2 linked regions of the Rhinolophus ferrumequinum genome follow. The protein of the gene in region 2 interacts with the protein of the main gene of each other region in a biochemical or structural test. Links are inferred from orthologs where the notes say so. Each region holds a gene or a part of one and is shown on either strand. Other genes may lie near its edges.

What was found.
Region 1: the proteins of guanine nucleotide-binding protein G(q) subunit alpha (region 2) and RIC8A form a complex in vitro, tested with the Homo sapiens proteins (2 studies listed by BioGRID). The link is inferred for Rhinolophus ferrumequinum from reciprocal best matches to the Homo sapiens genes GNAQ and RIC8A.

What each region holds. Positions count from the first base shown.
Region 1 is NC_046294.1:34,001-41,470, forward strand, and holds the start of RIC8A (synembryn-A), read left to right. Parts: upstream 1-4,168; 5' UTR 4,169-4,318; coding exon 4,319-4,402; intron 4,403-4,686; coding exon 4,687-4,734; intron 4,735-4,821; coding exon 4,822-5,412; intron 5,413-5,816; coding exon 5,817-5,908; intron 5,909-6,466; coding exon 6,467-6,617; intron 6,618-7,470. Other genes in the region: BET1L (BET1-like protein), read right to left, coding at 332-499, 618-674, 936-1,044, 2,250-2,464.
Region 2 is NC_046295.1:42,698,112-42,706,044, reverse strand, and holds the start of guanine nucleotide-binding protein G(q) subunit alpha, read left to right. Parts: upstream 1-4,573; 5' UTR 4,574-4,795; coding exon 4,796-4,931; intron 4,932-7,933.

The sequences.
Region 1 (7,470 bases), on a different chromosome or scaffold from region 2:
AAGATGACCGGGCAGAGGAGCCTTGAGACATCAGAGCCAAGGGCCTGTAAAGGGCTGCTGGCCCCGAGCAGCCGTGTCCAGGACGTCCAGCTGTTCTGCTCAGGCATGGCTCTGCCAGTGCCTCTCGCACCTGGGCCCTTGCACACATGGGACCAGCCAACACAGCTGAGTCAGAGGCAGCCGTGGGCTCCCGGCCACACAGGAAGAAGATGCCTAAGCCACGGTCATCATTTCAAAGGAGTATTTTGTAGGCAGGTCCTCTGGAGCCCAGGACACCAGGTAGGGAAGACCTTGGTAGCCCGGGCACCCGCAGAAGCCAGCTCCCACTGGCTCACGTCCTTGCCCTGGACAGGAGGTACGAAAGGATGAAGAACAGCACGACCAGGCCCAAGGCCATGCCGCACAGCAGCTTTCGGTTGTCTCGCCCAGACCGCGTCATTGTGGAAAAGCGCTTCACGCTGCCCGTGAGCAGGCCTGTCACGCTCATGAAATCCGAGTCCTGCGGGAGGAATCCCAGCTGGGTCACACGGGCGCTGCCGTGTGCATGGGGTGGGGGGCTAAGCAGGCAGTACAGGGCAGAGCTGCCCACGACATTCATGCACGTCGCAGACCCTTACCATGCCATCCAGGTACCGGTTCTGGTCCTCAGCATCTCTATCAATGTCCAGGGCCAGCTGGTCAGGACAGAAGGGGCAGGGTCAGGCCAGGGCAGACATACGGGACAGCGCCTGACCCCCGACAAGACCAGCAGACGCTGCCAACAACCCTGCCACCACCAGAAGTCAGGTCCAGATGTCACCTGGCCCTCACACAGGTGACCGCTGCCATGGATGGGACAGAAGGACGGGAAGCACATTTAACCCTTCCAGGACTCTACCCTCCCTCTCATCCCACCTGAGCAGGTCCAGGTGGAGGTAGAAGAGGCCACTACTGACCGATTTGAGCCTGGTGACTTTGGAGGCCAGGCTGTCGGCTATCCGCTTGTTCTCCCGGTCTAGAATCTCCTCCACAGCGCCAGAGCTCTGAGCTGCAGGAAGAGAGAGGCTGAGGGGGACAACCACCCATGAGCCCTTGACCCTGTGCATTGGCCCTTCGTGACCTCAGGACTCCCACTACGATCCCATCTGGCCAAGTGTCATGTCTGGGGGAACGGGGTCCACCTGTTTGTTGAGCAGGTCCAGTTGTACCCCAGGGGCTGGTGCAAGGACTTCGCACATGAGACAGGCTGGGTGACAGTGTGCGTGACCACCTGTTGTGTGAGCGCATGGCCTGAGCACATGTCCAGGCCGGGACAGGCAGGCACCCCCAAAGTGTACAACCACAAACAATTCAGTGAAACTGGCACTTTGGGGTACTATGACACCACCTGTACCATCCCTCCATGGATGTCACCAATGGTGTACATGGGACCTGTTTTACGAGATAAACAGTAAACTGGTGTGGATGTAGGAAAGGTATAGGAGAGGCACCCAGGGGGCAGCAGGAAGGTCCCTGCAGGGGACACCTGTGAACTGGGTCCTGGTGAGGTGACAAGTAACCAGAGCGCCGACAACTGAGCAGTGCTGCCCAAAACAGACCCCAAGGGCAGGGATGACATTTGATCAGGGCTGCGACCCACACAGGGCGTGGTGCCTGCTGAGACCTGCCAGTGACTAGGGCGGGGCCAGGTGATTCGCAATTACCGGCACATCAGGCGTGTGGAAACCACCTGCCCCCCACTTAAGAGTGTACACCTGCCGTGGGGCAGAAGCCTCGACGTGACCCCTCTAATGGGGGAGCAGCCCTGGGAATCACCGATGTGCAGACCCCTAAGGAAAGGGTGTTACGTCCCACCAGCCCCTTCGCGTTCACTGACTCCTAAGGACCAAACAGCTCGGCAAAGCGGCATCAGCATCGGGCGGGGCTCCCCGAGGCCCTCGGAGCCCAGGCCCCAGTCACCACGAGGCCTGCTTCCGCCCTCCCAGCACGCAGCCTCCGCTCCCGGGGGCTGGCCTGCGGCCCGTGCGGACGGTGGGGGCCGTGGCCGTCGGGCCCCCGCAGCTGCGCGATGGGGAAGGGCGGGGACACCCCCGGGTCCGGCGACCCCTCAGGGGCGGCGGGGCGGGGCCGGCTGACGCCTGGTCGGCCCGGCCTGGCTCCGCCCGCCAGCGGGTCAACCCGCCAAAGCCACCCAGCCGGCCGGGCTCTTGCTGGCAGCGGCGTCGACGACGGCCGGGCCGCCGCCACCGGCTCCACTCTCCCGCGCTCACCCCGAGCCCAGTCCGCCATCGTGCGCGGCTCCGGCCCCGGGCTCCGTCAACGCTTCCGCCACAGGCTCCGGCGACGTGGCCGTCACGGGACGGGGCTTCCGGCCCCGCCCCTTCCGCTCGGGCCCGCCGGCTTCCGGCTGAGATCCGGGCCGCGGGGGCCGTGCGGTGGGAGCAGAAGTGGCCTGACTTGCGGACGGGGCGTCAGTGTGTTCCATGCCGGTGAGGGTGTTGACATACACTCGTCACTCTCGCCGAAGGCTGCGTCAGGTCCCAAATGGCCCTTACCCAGGCGAGAGAGGGGCGGCGAGGTCCGGACAGGAGCCGCCCCCGCCCGCCGCGGTGCGGTTAAGGCGCAGGTTCGTGGCGAAGTCCCGGCCCCAGTTAATGCTGGAGGGACGCGGCGGAGATCGGTGCCCGCAACGAGCGAGCGCCGCAGGAGACGTAGGGGTGAAGCGCTCCGACAAGACGGTGCGGCGAGGCAGGGGTGGGGTGGAAGTGGCGGGGACGTGTGGCCGGTAGGAGCTTCCCGCTTTTGCACGCGGGCGTTGCTGACAAAGGGCCTGGCGCAACCGGGATGCCCAACAAAGACTTGCTGCAGGAGTCACCCACCGAAGACATCATTTGCTGTCATAAGTCCTCACAAACCATTGGAATGGGAATTTTTATCACCTGTGCTTTTCAAAAGAGGAGACTGAGTACAGGCCAGGCAGTGTGTCCCGATTACACAGCTGGGAAGTCGCGCCGGACACGTGATCAGGCGCTGCCTTCATCCTGACCTCCCCACACTCCTCTCTCCCCCATGGCCATTCTCCAACTGCCAAGTGGCTGCTCCTGCCTTGAATCACCTTCCCCCACGTCCTTTCCTGGCTCACTTCTTAGCGTCCTGTCTCAGAAAAAATGCCACCGCAGAGCCCTTTGCAGCGCACCACGCAGCCCAGACACGATCCCTTCTCAGCAAACCCCCCCGACCCCCGCTGTTTCTTGTTTGTAACAAATCAGACCCAAGTCCCTTTTTTTTTTTCTCAGACATAAATCAGGCTCCTGGGGCACCAATTCGCCCTGTGGATTCACAGCTAACACACTGACGCGTACCTGGAAGTGTTTTTACAAAACCTCCAACAGGCACGTAAACATCAGGCTAGCTGGCGCCAGAGAACTGATGACCAGAACTAAGATGTCTTTGTAACTCCAGCTCCAACCAATCATATGGTACCCCGGAACTGATAACGTATTGAAGACCCCCTACCCTCCATTTCACCCTTTAAAACCAATTGCCAACAAGCGGACAGGGAGTTCGGGTTCTTCCCGCGTAAGCTGCTGGTTCTCCAATGCATGGCGGTCTACAATAAAGGCTTCCTTCAGGGCAACCCAGTGTCAGTGTAACTGGCTACGCGCAGCGCAGGGGGGAGCAAACCGCTCGGTTACAACCACACGCCTTTCTGTTTTAAATCACAGCACTACGACTGCCTGAAGTCGTCTCGTTTGTCCGTTTTTTCTTGGCTGCCCTTGACTTTTGGAACGTCAGCGCCACGAAGACAGGGACGTGTGGGTCCTGTTTACCCGCATCCCAGCGCCTCGCATGCAGCAGTCACTCGAACACGTAACAAACCAAGTGGTCACAGGGCTGCAAAGTCCTTTTCACCTCGGCTTTGCCCCGACATCGCATTCGTGGGGCGGCTCCAGAGGAGCGCTGTTGTGCGCGTGGTGGGGGTTTGGGGGCTGCGGTCCTCTCCTGCCGGGAATTCCGGCACAAGAAGCGGGGGCAGTCACGAGGCCCCGAATTCCAAACATCACCGAGTCGGAGCTTGAAGCCCGTGCTGACCCGGAGGCAGAGCCTGCCAGCTCCCAGCCCCGCCACCGCCAGGCGCACGCAGCCCAGGCCCCGCCCCGCGGCGGCGCGCACGCCCGTCCCGGCGTACCCCGCGCGAGCTCCGCCCCGCCCCGCGGCGCCGCGCACGCCGGTCCCGGCGACCCCCACGCATCGAGTCAGGGAGAGGCGTTTGGAGTCCGGTCCGGAACCGCGGAGCGTGGCCCCTCCCTCCTTCCCGGCGCCGCGTGCCGGGGGCGCCATGGATCCCGGTGCGGTTGCGGATGCCGTGGAGACGGGAGAGGAGGACGTAATTATGGAGGCTCTGCGCACGTACAACCTGGAGGTGAGCGGAGCCGTGGACGTGGGACGTGCGAGGAGGCGGTGGGGCAGGGTGGGGCACGCGCGTGGCCGGCAGCGGGTGCGTGAGTGTGGGAGGGAGCGCGGAGGGGCGGGGCGCAGAGTCTACGAGGCGTTGCTGGGGGGCGAGTCGGGGTGCGCGCCCCGGGAACAGGTGTGTAGGGGTGGGGCTCCTTTGCAGAGGGGTCCCTGCGGCCTCAGGGCCCTCCTGGGAACCCGGGCCCTGCCCGTGTGCACCTGTGCTCCCTGAGTCTTTGGGTCTCTCTGCAGAATTCCCAGAGCTTCACGTTTGAGGACGCCCAACAGGAGGACAGGAAGGTGGGTGCTGCCCGAGGGGTGAAGGAGAAGGGACGGGCGGTCGCTGGCCGACACGCCTGCTGCAGCCACTCTTCCCTCCGCCCACAGAGGCTGGCGGAGCTGCTGGTTTTGGGCCTGGAGCAGGGCTTGCCGCTCTCCCGCCGCGTCACCTGGCTGCAGAGCATCCGCATCCTGTCCAGGGACCGCAGCTGCCTGGACCCCTTCACCAGCCGCCAGAGCCTGCAGGCACTGGCCTGCTATGCTGGCATCTCCGGCTCCGCGGGGTTAGCTCCTAAGGCCCTGAACATGGACATTGTCCTCGAGGCCCTCAAGTGCCTGTGCAACCTGGTGCTCAGCAGCCCGGAGGCACAGGTGCTGGCAGCAGAGGCCCGCCTGGTGGTGAGCCTGGCGGAGCGCGTGGGGCTGCACGGGGAGAGCGGCGTCCCGCACGACGTCCAGTTCTTTGACTTGCGCCTCCTCTTCCTGTTGACGGCGCTGCGTGCCGACGTTCGCCAGCAGCTGTTTCAGGAGCTGCAGGGTGTGCGTCTACTGACAGAGGCGCTGGAGCTGACGCTGGGGGTGACCCCCAAAGACAGCACCCCGAGGTCTCTTCCTCCCCAGGAGACAGAGCGGGCCATGGAGATCCTCAAGGTGCTTTTCAACATCACGTTCGACTCTGTTAAGAGGGAGGTGGACCAGGTGAGTCGACCTGCGCGGTGGCTGGTGCTCGCGTAACGCTGCTGGGTAGTCAGCGTGCCTTGCCGACGGGTGTCTGACACAGGGAGGAGGCAGGAGGCAAGGAGACACCAGTTCTGAGGCCTCGAGGAGGGTTTCTGAGGGACGCGGAGGCCAGGGCTCCTAGAGCCTGGCAGGAGGGCTGTGGTGAGAGGCTGCAGGTGACTCCTGCCACCAGAGTGCATGGGGGCTGGGAAACAGTGGGATGCACTCCCAAGGGGCTGCATTGCTCTTTCTGGGGGGCTGGGGCATACACTCAACAAGATGCACGTCACTACACGTGGTCTTGGACTGGGGTAGACACCACGCCAGCTGGCAGCGGTGGGACAACTGTGGCTCTCTGTCACAGGAACCTTTTTCTTTGTCAGGAAGATGCTGCCCTTTACCGGCACCTGGGGACCCTCCTGCGGCACTGTGTGATGGTGGCTGCTGCTGGAGACCGCACGGAGGAGTTCCATGGGTGAGTGTGGGGCCTGTCATCCCGGGAGGGAAGTGTGCTCACCAGTGTAGAAGGTAGCGTAGATGGGGTTCCCAGCCCAGCCAGTGGACCGGGCTCCACCCTGCAGAATCTTCCATCTGAGTGGGACTAGACATCAGTGTGTTTCCAGAGAGCCCGGCACTTGCAATACGTACTAGGATAAGAGCTGTTGTGTGTGGACAGGAAAGTGCCACTGGACCTCGGGTAGTGGCAGTGGGTGGCATGGTATCTACAGGGCGACGTAGTTCCTTACCGCTGTTTTCGGTGCCCTGTGCATAGGCAGACCCTGGTTTCCCAGAGATTGCCTATGATGTTTTAGCCCAGACAGAGGGTGGCAGGTGGGGCATCTGCACAGAGTGCTGCCCTTCTTGGGGACCTACCCCACTGGGCAGGAGTGCCCGAGGTCAGTGCCCCTTCAGCCTCGGTTCCTGGTGCTGCTCCTTAGGTTCATGTTGTGTGGAGCCCAGCAGGGTACACCAAGGGTTGTGCCTGTGCTAGGGGACTGGATTTAGCAGGCCCCCCGCCCCCGTCTGTCCCCAGCCACACAGTGAACCTCTTGGGGAACTTGCCCCTCCAGTGTCTGGATGTCCTCCTCACCCTGGAACCGCAGGAAGGGTCCCTGGAGTTCCTGGGCGTGAACATGGATGTGATCCGTGTCCTCCTCAGCTTCCTGGAGAAGCGTCTGCACCAGGTGGGCAGGGGTCCTGCTGTGGGGGCTGCCCATTGGCTCTGGCTTCCCAAGCAGCTGTGGCCACAGCTTTTGCAAAGTCCACACTGGTGAATGGAGACGGGCTCAGTGCCATGGTTTGGGCCCCCAGCCTCACGGGTCCAACCGGGCAGGAAGCCAGGCCCTCTGCCCTGAGAAGCACACATGCCAGGGAGGTTGACTGTGCAGCTTCCCGTGGAGCGTCTTCAGTCAACCAGAGTGCTTCTTTCTCAGACCTGTGGGGGGCTCCCTCCTGAATGGTCCTGAGAAGCCCCCCAGCCCCTGCTTGGGACTCCAGAGTCTTAGTGTCACTGCATAGGAATTTCTCGGGTACTGGCGTCAACTGTCCCGTGACCCACAGGTGCCTGCATCTGAGCACAGTGGCCGGCAGGGGCTCTCAGCAGCCCTCCGGGAGCTCGTGGATGTGCACGCCGCACAGCACAGACTCTCGGGAACCCACACTCACGTGCATGGTGGGCTAGGCCATGTGCCCAGCAGTGGACACACTAGCCATGACCATCTGTTCCTAGCACTACCGCTGCTGGTGCTGGGATCCAGGGAGGTAACCAGGGGAGGCCGGGAGCTGGGAGCTCCCTGGTCTCTGTCCACGACACCCACAGAAAGCGATTTTGTTCTCACGTTTTTAGCCACCATTTTCTGAGCGCCACTTGAGTGCTCAGTTTGAAACGCTGTTGCCCCACAGTCCTGGTTGAGGATGAGGAAGTTAGACTCAGTAGTTATTTGTCCCGTCACAGCACAGAGGTGGCCCTCTGGGTTGGGTTCCAGCCCAGTCCTTGGAGGCTCAGCGGGCACTCACTGCCCACAAGCAGCGGGGCCT
Region 2 (7,933 bases):
GTCAATCATTCAACAAATGTTTCTGAAGCATCTATTACCTCTCAGACACTATTCTAGGTGCTGGATTTAGAAATGAACCAAACAGACAAAAAGCCCTTATGGAGTTTTATATGAGAAATGATCAAAGGGAGGAGAGATGAGTATAATGGTTTAAACGATTATTTGATTTAGAAACTTGGAAACAAAAAAAGGGGAAAGAAATCAATGGCCTCAACAACCTGATTAAATCCAGTATCCAATCCCCATCCTGCTCACTGCCTTAGAGGTCCTACCTGGAATGCTCACAGGTACAGTATGTGCTAAATGGAGAGTACAAATTGGTCCAGGATTCACAACAATGGGAGTAAATCAGGTGACGGGAATGGTCATCATCTGGAAATATAGGCCTGGGATTGCCAGATCTTGACCAGGAACTGAAACCCCCATTTCTATGTGAATCTCTTGATGTTTAAGTTCTGATAGCTAATTCAAAATTTTCAATAGCACCATTAAGTCAAAAGCAACACTTCTTCAGGCCAAAGATCCCAATTTGCACCCTTGGTCTTAGGTGGAAGTCCAGCAAGGGCAGAGTCTTGGGGGACAGGTGGCTCCAACTTGTAATAACTTCAAGGCAAAAAGGAAACTCCTATGTTAGCTAAGTTATCCTTGATCCTTTGGATACCAGAAGGATTTGGATTATGATTTGGGGTGACCTGATAGCTCACTGTCTGATCTTAGTACATATTCATTCATTTGCTCCAATTCATTCATTCATTCACTCATTCATTAATCAAATATTAGTAAATGGCTTCGGTGGCTGAAACACTGCTCTACTCAGCTTAAACACATTCCCATTTGGCCAGCCTTTTCGGGCCTTCCAGTCTGGTGGGACTTAGATGGCATTTACACTGTGAGTACAATACTTACTGTGATAATGCTGACCTTGGATAAGCACAAAATAAGTATATCTGATTAGTCAGAGGATCGGTTGAATGCATTTCTGAGGATAATAATAGAAAGATGTCACTGAGCTACTCTACCTCATCTAGACTATCAGTTTGGTGGCTTTTCTCTTTCAGAAGAAGGTGTTCTGTTTCACACCTGATTTTTCATCTTCTACATGTTGACCCTAGAACCATTTCTTTCAACTAAGAATCACTATCTTTCTGCTGTTGTGAAAACTGTCCTCTAGGTGGTGCCATTTGCAGCTCTCTAAGCCTGCGTCGGCCTGCTTTCCACCCCAGCAAGGCCACTTGACTCCCTGGCCAGACAGCTGTGCCAGCAAGCTCTGCACAGAGCAGCTCTTTCCCAGCTGTTGTAGGGCCGGCAATGCTCCAGGCTGACTTCTAATTGGTCTTACAGGTGACCACCACCGTGTGCCTATCCATACTCTTGGGTTGCTTTGAACGGTGCCTGGGATCTCTGCTCCTTGTTTTGAACTCCTAGCAATCCGTTCTCTACAGTGTAGATTGGTAGTGAGTGCGTCTCATTTTACATTGTTGTTTATTCTTTTATGCATGTGGACTGTCTGGCCAAATAGATTATTAAGACTTTAAGGCACTGCCTGGGACTGGGAGTCTGCAAGTGTTTTTGTTGTTGATGGAGGTTGTGGTATCCTTTTCTTTATTCATCATTTACAAGGTCTATGCTCTCAAGCAGCTTGAGAGAGAGAGAGAGAGAGAGAGAGAGAGAGAGAGAGAGAGAGAGAGAGAGAGAATGAATGAGAATTACAGTGGTGTAGTGCTATGCATGCTGGGAAGCAGCTGTGCCAAGTGCCTGGGAACAGAAGGAGTGCAGGCTTATCCTTCTCCAGGAACTCCTTTTACAAGAGTGCGACCTTTCACTCTAACTCTAGGATCACTCCTAGAGACTATTCTATACCTTTGACTGTTTTTCTTTTCCAGTCCCCCAAGGACAGGGTGATATGATCATGGGGGTAGGGATCCATCTCAGAATACCATAGAAGAGGTGACAGTCTTCCCATTTTCCTCTGGTGTTCAGTGTTCAAGCTCCTAGGATTTTGTGGCTTGCTTTTCAGCTATCTAGTAATTGCCCTAGAATACTTAAAATGGTTGATCATCTTACTCTGTGTTTTGGGGTGATTTGGAATGTGATTTGTATCTACAGTGTATCGAAGCAGTTAATTCCTTTCATCAAAAAATAGGTCAATTCCGTCAAAATGGATCCTGGTAGCTTGATGACATTTTCAAAAATCTCAGAGGATTCTTGGCTAGGAAACCCAGACATTTGAAGCTTCCTGTCATTTAATTTTCTGATGTTTTGAATCTGAAACCCATATATATATATATACATATATATACATACACATATATATGCATATATATATATACACATATATATGGATGCAAACTTATAATTAAGCTTTTCCTCTGAAGCCATTTAAAAGTTCTGCATGTTGAATTTCAGTCTTTAACTTCATTAGTCACTTTATTTTAAATTTCACAGCAGGTCTAGTGGCTTTTTGTGGGCATTCACATAAATGTGAGGTTTGTCCTTTCTGCTCTCTGAGCCAAGGTGAAATCTAATCATTTTCTAGGCCAAATATCCTTTTAAAAGGGAGTCTAAAATATAGATCTTATATCGCGATGACTTCTTTGATCTAAGTTCTGAAAGAGAGAGGTGGGGGCAGTCAAGGGGTGGAGGTAAAGGCAAATGAAAGAAGGTAGTCACACATCTGTCATTCGAGAACCCTTTGTGCATTTGTGACCTGTAGCAATAAGACTGTCATGATCATATTTTACACTCTGGATCAGCAGGTTGCACCAGAGACATCTCAGAGAAAACAAAACGTGAAAAAGGGACTCCCTGTATAGAATTCAATTTACTTTCAAGACCTCAGGTTCCGTTAAGGCAGGACGCAATATGAGTTTCATCTCTTGTAGCTATTAAACTACATAAAACCTGAATGAGCAAGATTTTTTTGTGTGTGTGTAGCCATTTTTCAGTCCTATGTAACAACAAAATATGCAAACATTTTTAAGTAAACTGCCCCAATCGAGAGTGGAAAACAAAATACTGGAATAAAATTTTGCTGAGGCGATGTTGGTTTTCTCATTTTTCTATTTTACTCTTTCCTTTTCTTTCACGTTATTTTGCATTTTCCCAGTAGACATCCATAATTCAATCTCGGCCTAGAAGGGTAAATTCGATTACTTGGCTGTTAAACATCACGTGCCTTTTAAAAAACAGGAGGAGAGCTTGTAAGAAAACAAAAACAACCTCAATGGCGTGAAAACTTGGAAGATATCAGGAAGCTCTTGGTAACTTCGGCAGCTTCATTTTTCTGCTCAGGATTTACATTTCTATGTCCAGTAACTGGGGAGAGTTTCACCTTTTAATTCCCCCCCGACACACACACACCTCCGGGAACCAGTGACAATTACTTCTCTTCCTCCGTCACACTCCACTATCGAGTGTATCTGATTTTCTACTACTGAACTGGGGTCAGAGATGACAGAGATACTCTCTAACCGAATGGCGTTATAGAAATAGGAACGGGAAGGAATACAGAAGCGGCTGCAGAGGGTCGCGCCAGCAGATCTGTGCTGTCCAGGAGCGGGGGGCGCGAGCGCCGCGGCCGCCTGCGGGGAGTTGGGCAGGGTGTCCACGGTGACAGCCGGTGCAGGGGGCTCGCGGGGCCGAATCCTGAGGATTCCCCGAGGGCCGAGGCCGCGCTCCGGGGCTGGTGGGCTGAAAGGGAGACAGAGGCCGCCATATTCCTGCTTCACCACGCCCGGGCAGCCGGCGGGCAGCGGCAGGTTGGCGGCCGCCCTGGCTGAGCTGGGGAGACCCGACCCCGCCCTCCGCCGGGGGCGGCCGTGACCGCGGCGCCCGCGGGCCCCGCAGAGGGCGCGGGAGCGGAAGGCGCCCGCAGAGCTCCCAGGGCCGGCCCAGCCCGGGAGGAGCGCGGGCGAGGCGAGAGCCGCACTGGGCGGCGCGCGCGGCGGCTGCGAGCCCAGGAGAGCCTTCCAGGAGGGGCCGGGCGGCACCGCCTCCCCGCTCCCTCCTCCTGCGCCCGCTCCCTCCTCCTCCTCCTCCTCCTCCTCCTCCTCCTCCTCCTCTTCCTCCCGCCGCCGCCGCCGCCGCCGCCGCCTCCCTCCCGGATCTGTGCTCCAGTTCAGAGAAAGAAGAAAATGTGTGTGTGTGGCGAGGGGGAGGGCGAGCACTGAGCAGCCGCTCCGCGCCTGGCAATCGGGGCCGGGGGTGGGCGCCTGGCGGAGGCGGAGGCGGAGGCGGAGGCGGAGGAGCGCGCGGCAGCCGGCGGGCGGTGGGCGCGGGCAGGGCCGAGGGCGCCCGGAGCCGTGTTAAGCGGCGGCCAAGAGCGGGCGCGCCGGGCGCAGAGAGCCATCGGCGGCCGCTCGCTGCGTACGCCCCGGTGGATGTGCTCTCGCCGCCGGGCGCAGGGCTTAGGGGAGCCTCGGCGGCAGCGGTGGCCGCGCGGGGGGCGAGGCGAGCCGCCCGTGCCCGGGGAAGGAAGCCCGGGCGTCTGAGCAAGGCCGGGAGCGGCGGCCTTTCGTCGCGCGCACCCCGAACCAGCGCCCGCGGCCGCCTCCCGCCCCGCCTCGCTCCTGCGGGCGGCCCAGCCGTCTGCTCCCGCCGCACCCCCGTTCCACCTGGTGGCTCCGGCCCTGGCCGCGGCCACCGCGGCGGTTCCCCGAGCTAGTCCCGGACGCGCGCCCGGGCGGCGGGGGCTCGGCGGCCACCGCTGCCTCGGGGGAGCGAGGGCGGGAGGGTGTGTGTGCGCGCGTGTGAGCAGGGGGTGCCGGCGGGGCTGCAGCGGAGGCACTTTGGAAGAATGACTCTGGAGTCCATCATGGCGTGCTGCCTGAGCGAGGAGGCCAAGGAAGCCCGGAGGATCAACGACGAGATCGAGCGGCAGCTCCGCAGGGACAAGCGGGACGCTCGCCGGGAGCTCAAGCTGCTGCTGCTGGGTGAGTACCGCCCGGGGCCGGCCTTCGCGGGCCCTTTCCCCGGACCTCGGCGCCCCCCGCCAGCCACCCCCGAACCCCCCGGGCAGCCGCCGCCAGCGGCCCCCGCCTCAGGGCGCCCGCGGTTGTTCCCTACCCTCCCCCGGCGCGCCCCCGGCCACCACCCGCACCCTTTCGGGCGCGCGCGTACACACATACACTCGCACACACACGCAGAGGGGTCGGGCTGCCCTGCCCCCGGCCCCTGAAGGCCGTGCATTCGGGGTGCGCGTTTATTTGCCGTGCATCTCCTAAATGGCAAATAACTTGGGTGCGGGGGAAGGCATGGGAAGGTGGAAAGAGGGGTTGAACTTCCAGTGTCGTGGCCGCGGCGCCCCGTGGGTGGTGGAGTGGGGAGCTAGCTGTGTGTGTGGCCCGAGGGTGGCGAACGGAGCCAGGGCAACTAGGGGGTGGCCTGTGTGCATCCATATCAGTGCATTCTGGGGTCAGGAGGGAATGGTGGAACGGTGGTGGGCAGAGTCACAGCTGGCTTCTTCAAGGAGTGATGATGAGAGAGGCGAGTGGTTGGCCCTCCAAAGAAAGGAGGCTTATGTATTAGGGGGGCAGGGAGGCAAGCACAAATGTGTCACACAAGTGCTGTTCCCTAGCCACCAGACCAACGAAAGGACGGACCCCAGAAGAGTTTCTTGACCAGTGGATAGTGACAGGCGTGTTTCTTGTCTGCAAAATTCCTTCCAGATAAAAAGGCAAGGGATAGGGGAGCGTTGTGCTGTGTGGTTGTTGACAGCGACGGGTATCTTTTGTTTAATGAGGCAACCCAGATGTAGGCCTGAATTCACAATAGTTACTACTGAAAACCAGTGCAGCCTCTCAATTACTCTCATGGAGACAAATAGAAACCTTTTGTTTAAAACGGACAGCATTTTAATATGTTTGGAATCTGGACTGGAAGGAAAACGGGAAGTGTACAGCAAGAAATTTCCCTTTAATCTCTAAAAAAAAACCAAAAAAACTCAACGTTCTTCTCTAACACTAAGTTAGCAAGAAAATGCTGGTTCTCAATTAGGAATTCTGTTGATTATTATCTCTGAGAGATTGTTCAGAATCAGCCATCAGGGTTCGCATATACAAGCCAGGGTAACATACTCTGAGCTATTGTGGTAAGAAGAGCAAACAGCTTTGCAGTAACAGGCCTGAAAAATGCCTGCACTCGTGTTCAGGATATTTACGTGTATAATAAATATGTTTCTCAGACATTTCTGGAAGAAAAGAATATTGTATTGTCAATTCGGATTTGAGAAACGTGTTTTCTTATCTTGAGCATTCAGTCTCCTGGTTCAAGGAATCAGTTGCCTTTTGGACTGAACTGCTTATGTACCTGGATCATTTAAAGAAGGAACAAAATATAATGATCACAAATAGTTACAAATGGTTAATTCACATGCTATGCTTTATGTTTTCATTTTGAAGCAGATTAGATAAATGTGCACATGTTTATAAAGAACAGAAGGCAAAGTGCTTGATAAAAGAGGTGGGCTTTCAGAAATGAAGGCAGGGCAGGGTAAACTCTTATGGGAAAATGATCTTTTTATTTTTTTATTTTTATTCTCATTTTGAGCTGCTTTTACTGGCTGAAAATGTAGTTGAATGTTTTCTGAATTATCATGATTGAGAAGACAATAGAGAGGGCAAGAGAAATGTATAGAGTGTTTGGGTGCATGATTAAGGGGGCAAAAGCATGTGTTTTAGACTTAACGGTTTTTCTCTTTTCCCTTCCCTGTTTACAGCCTTTACATGTTTCTGTTTAGCTGTGAATTGGGTGGTGAGGGCTCTCAAGCCAACCCTATGGCTTGAAATGTGACAGCTCTGGGTTCCTAGGAGCTATGAGTTAGAGCCCAGGGGGTTCATCTGTTTGAGGGCCTAGGTTTCAATGTCTAGGAGGAGGACTTTTGGGGAAATACACATACATGGATGCTTAATTGCACACTGTGTATTTAAATAACATACTGTGCTTTAAAAAAATGAACTTGCAAGTAATTGCATGAGAAAAAAAATAAAGTAAAACAATTTTACTGCTTAAGTGTTGGCAGTGGGGAGGATTTTTTTTTTTTCTTATTAGATAGTTGAGTAGGGTTTAATACAAGCCCCACCCCGGCCCCCAAATATGGCCTCTTAGAAGTGGTAGAAAAATATGACTTTCATTTAGCACCTACATTCATTGGTAACATTTAAAAATGATACAACTTGCTGTTAGAAATGTGATGCCTAGACATCATGTAACATTTGCTACTGCTTCATGTTCTAAGTATGTTGCTTTTGTAACAAATCTACTGTAATATCTATGCTATTTATATAGTTAATGATATATGCTAAATGTAGGTTTGTGTGTATGGGCATTTCATGATTTTTTGAGTCCAGGAGATAAATGATGGTCGATGTGAATCAGGGCAGGTATTGGGAAGGGGTTCCTTTGAGTACCTCCTGACGGGCTCCTTAGATGAGTCTTCTGGTGCCTTCATTCATTTAAGTGATACCTGACCAAAGGAGGTTAAGGGATGTACCCTTTCACGGTTTAACGATTCACCAATATTTTTAAATATTTAAATTGAGGAATCACCCTTATTTTTAAATGAAATTCCAGATTAAATTCTTTTCAAAGTAGATAATTAGCTCAAGGCATGATGCCATTTTAATGGATTTATTTGGCAGGGGACCTTTCATTAGTCCACATAATTATTTAATTTTATATTAATAGTATGGAGAAATTAGACATGGAAATAGTGCTAGATGAAAATATGGCACTAAAATTTGGGTTATTTTTATTCATATCCAGCAATTGTGCCAATTTGTTCCAAATTCCACAGTACAGTATTTTGATTTTTATTCTTTTTAAAAAATGAACCCAGAAACGTACTACCATATATATCATATTCAACGATGAATTCTTTTCTTGTTTCCTTTAACTTATTCATCCTCTGAATTCACTTACATCAGTGTTTATTTTC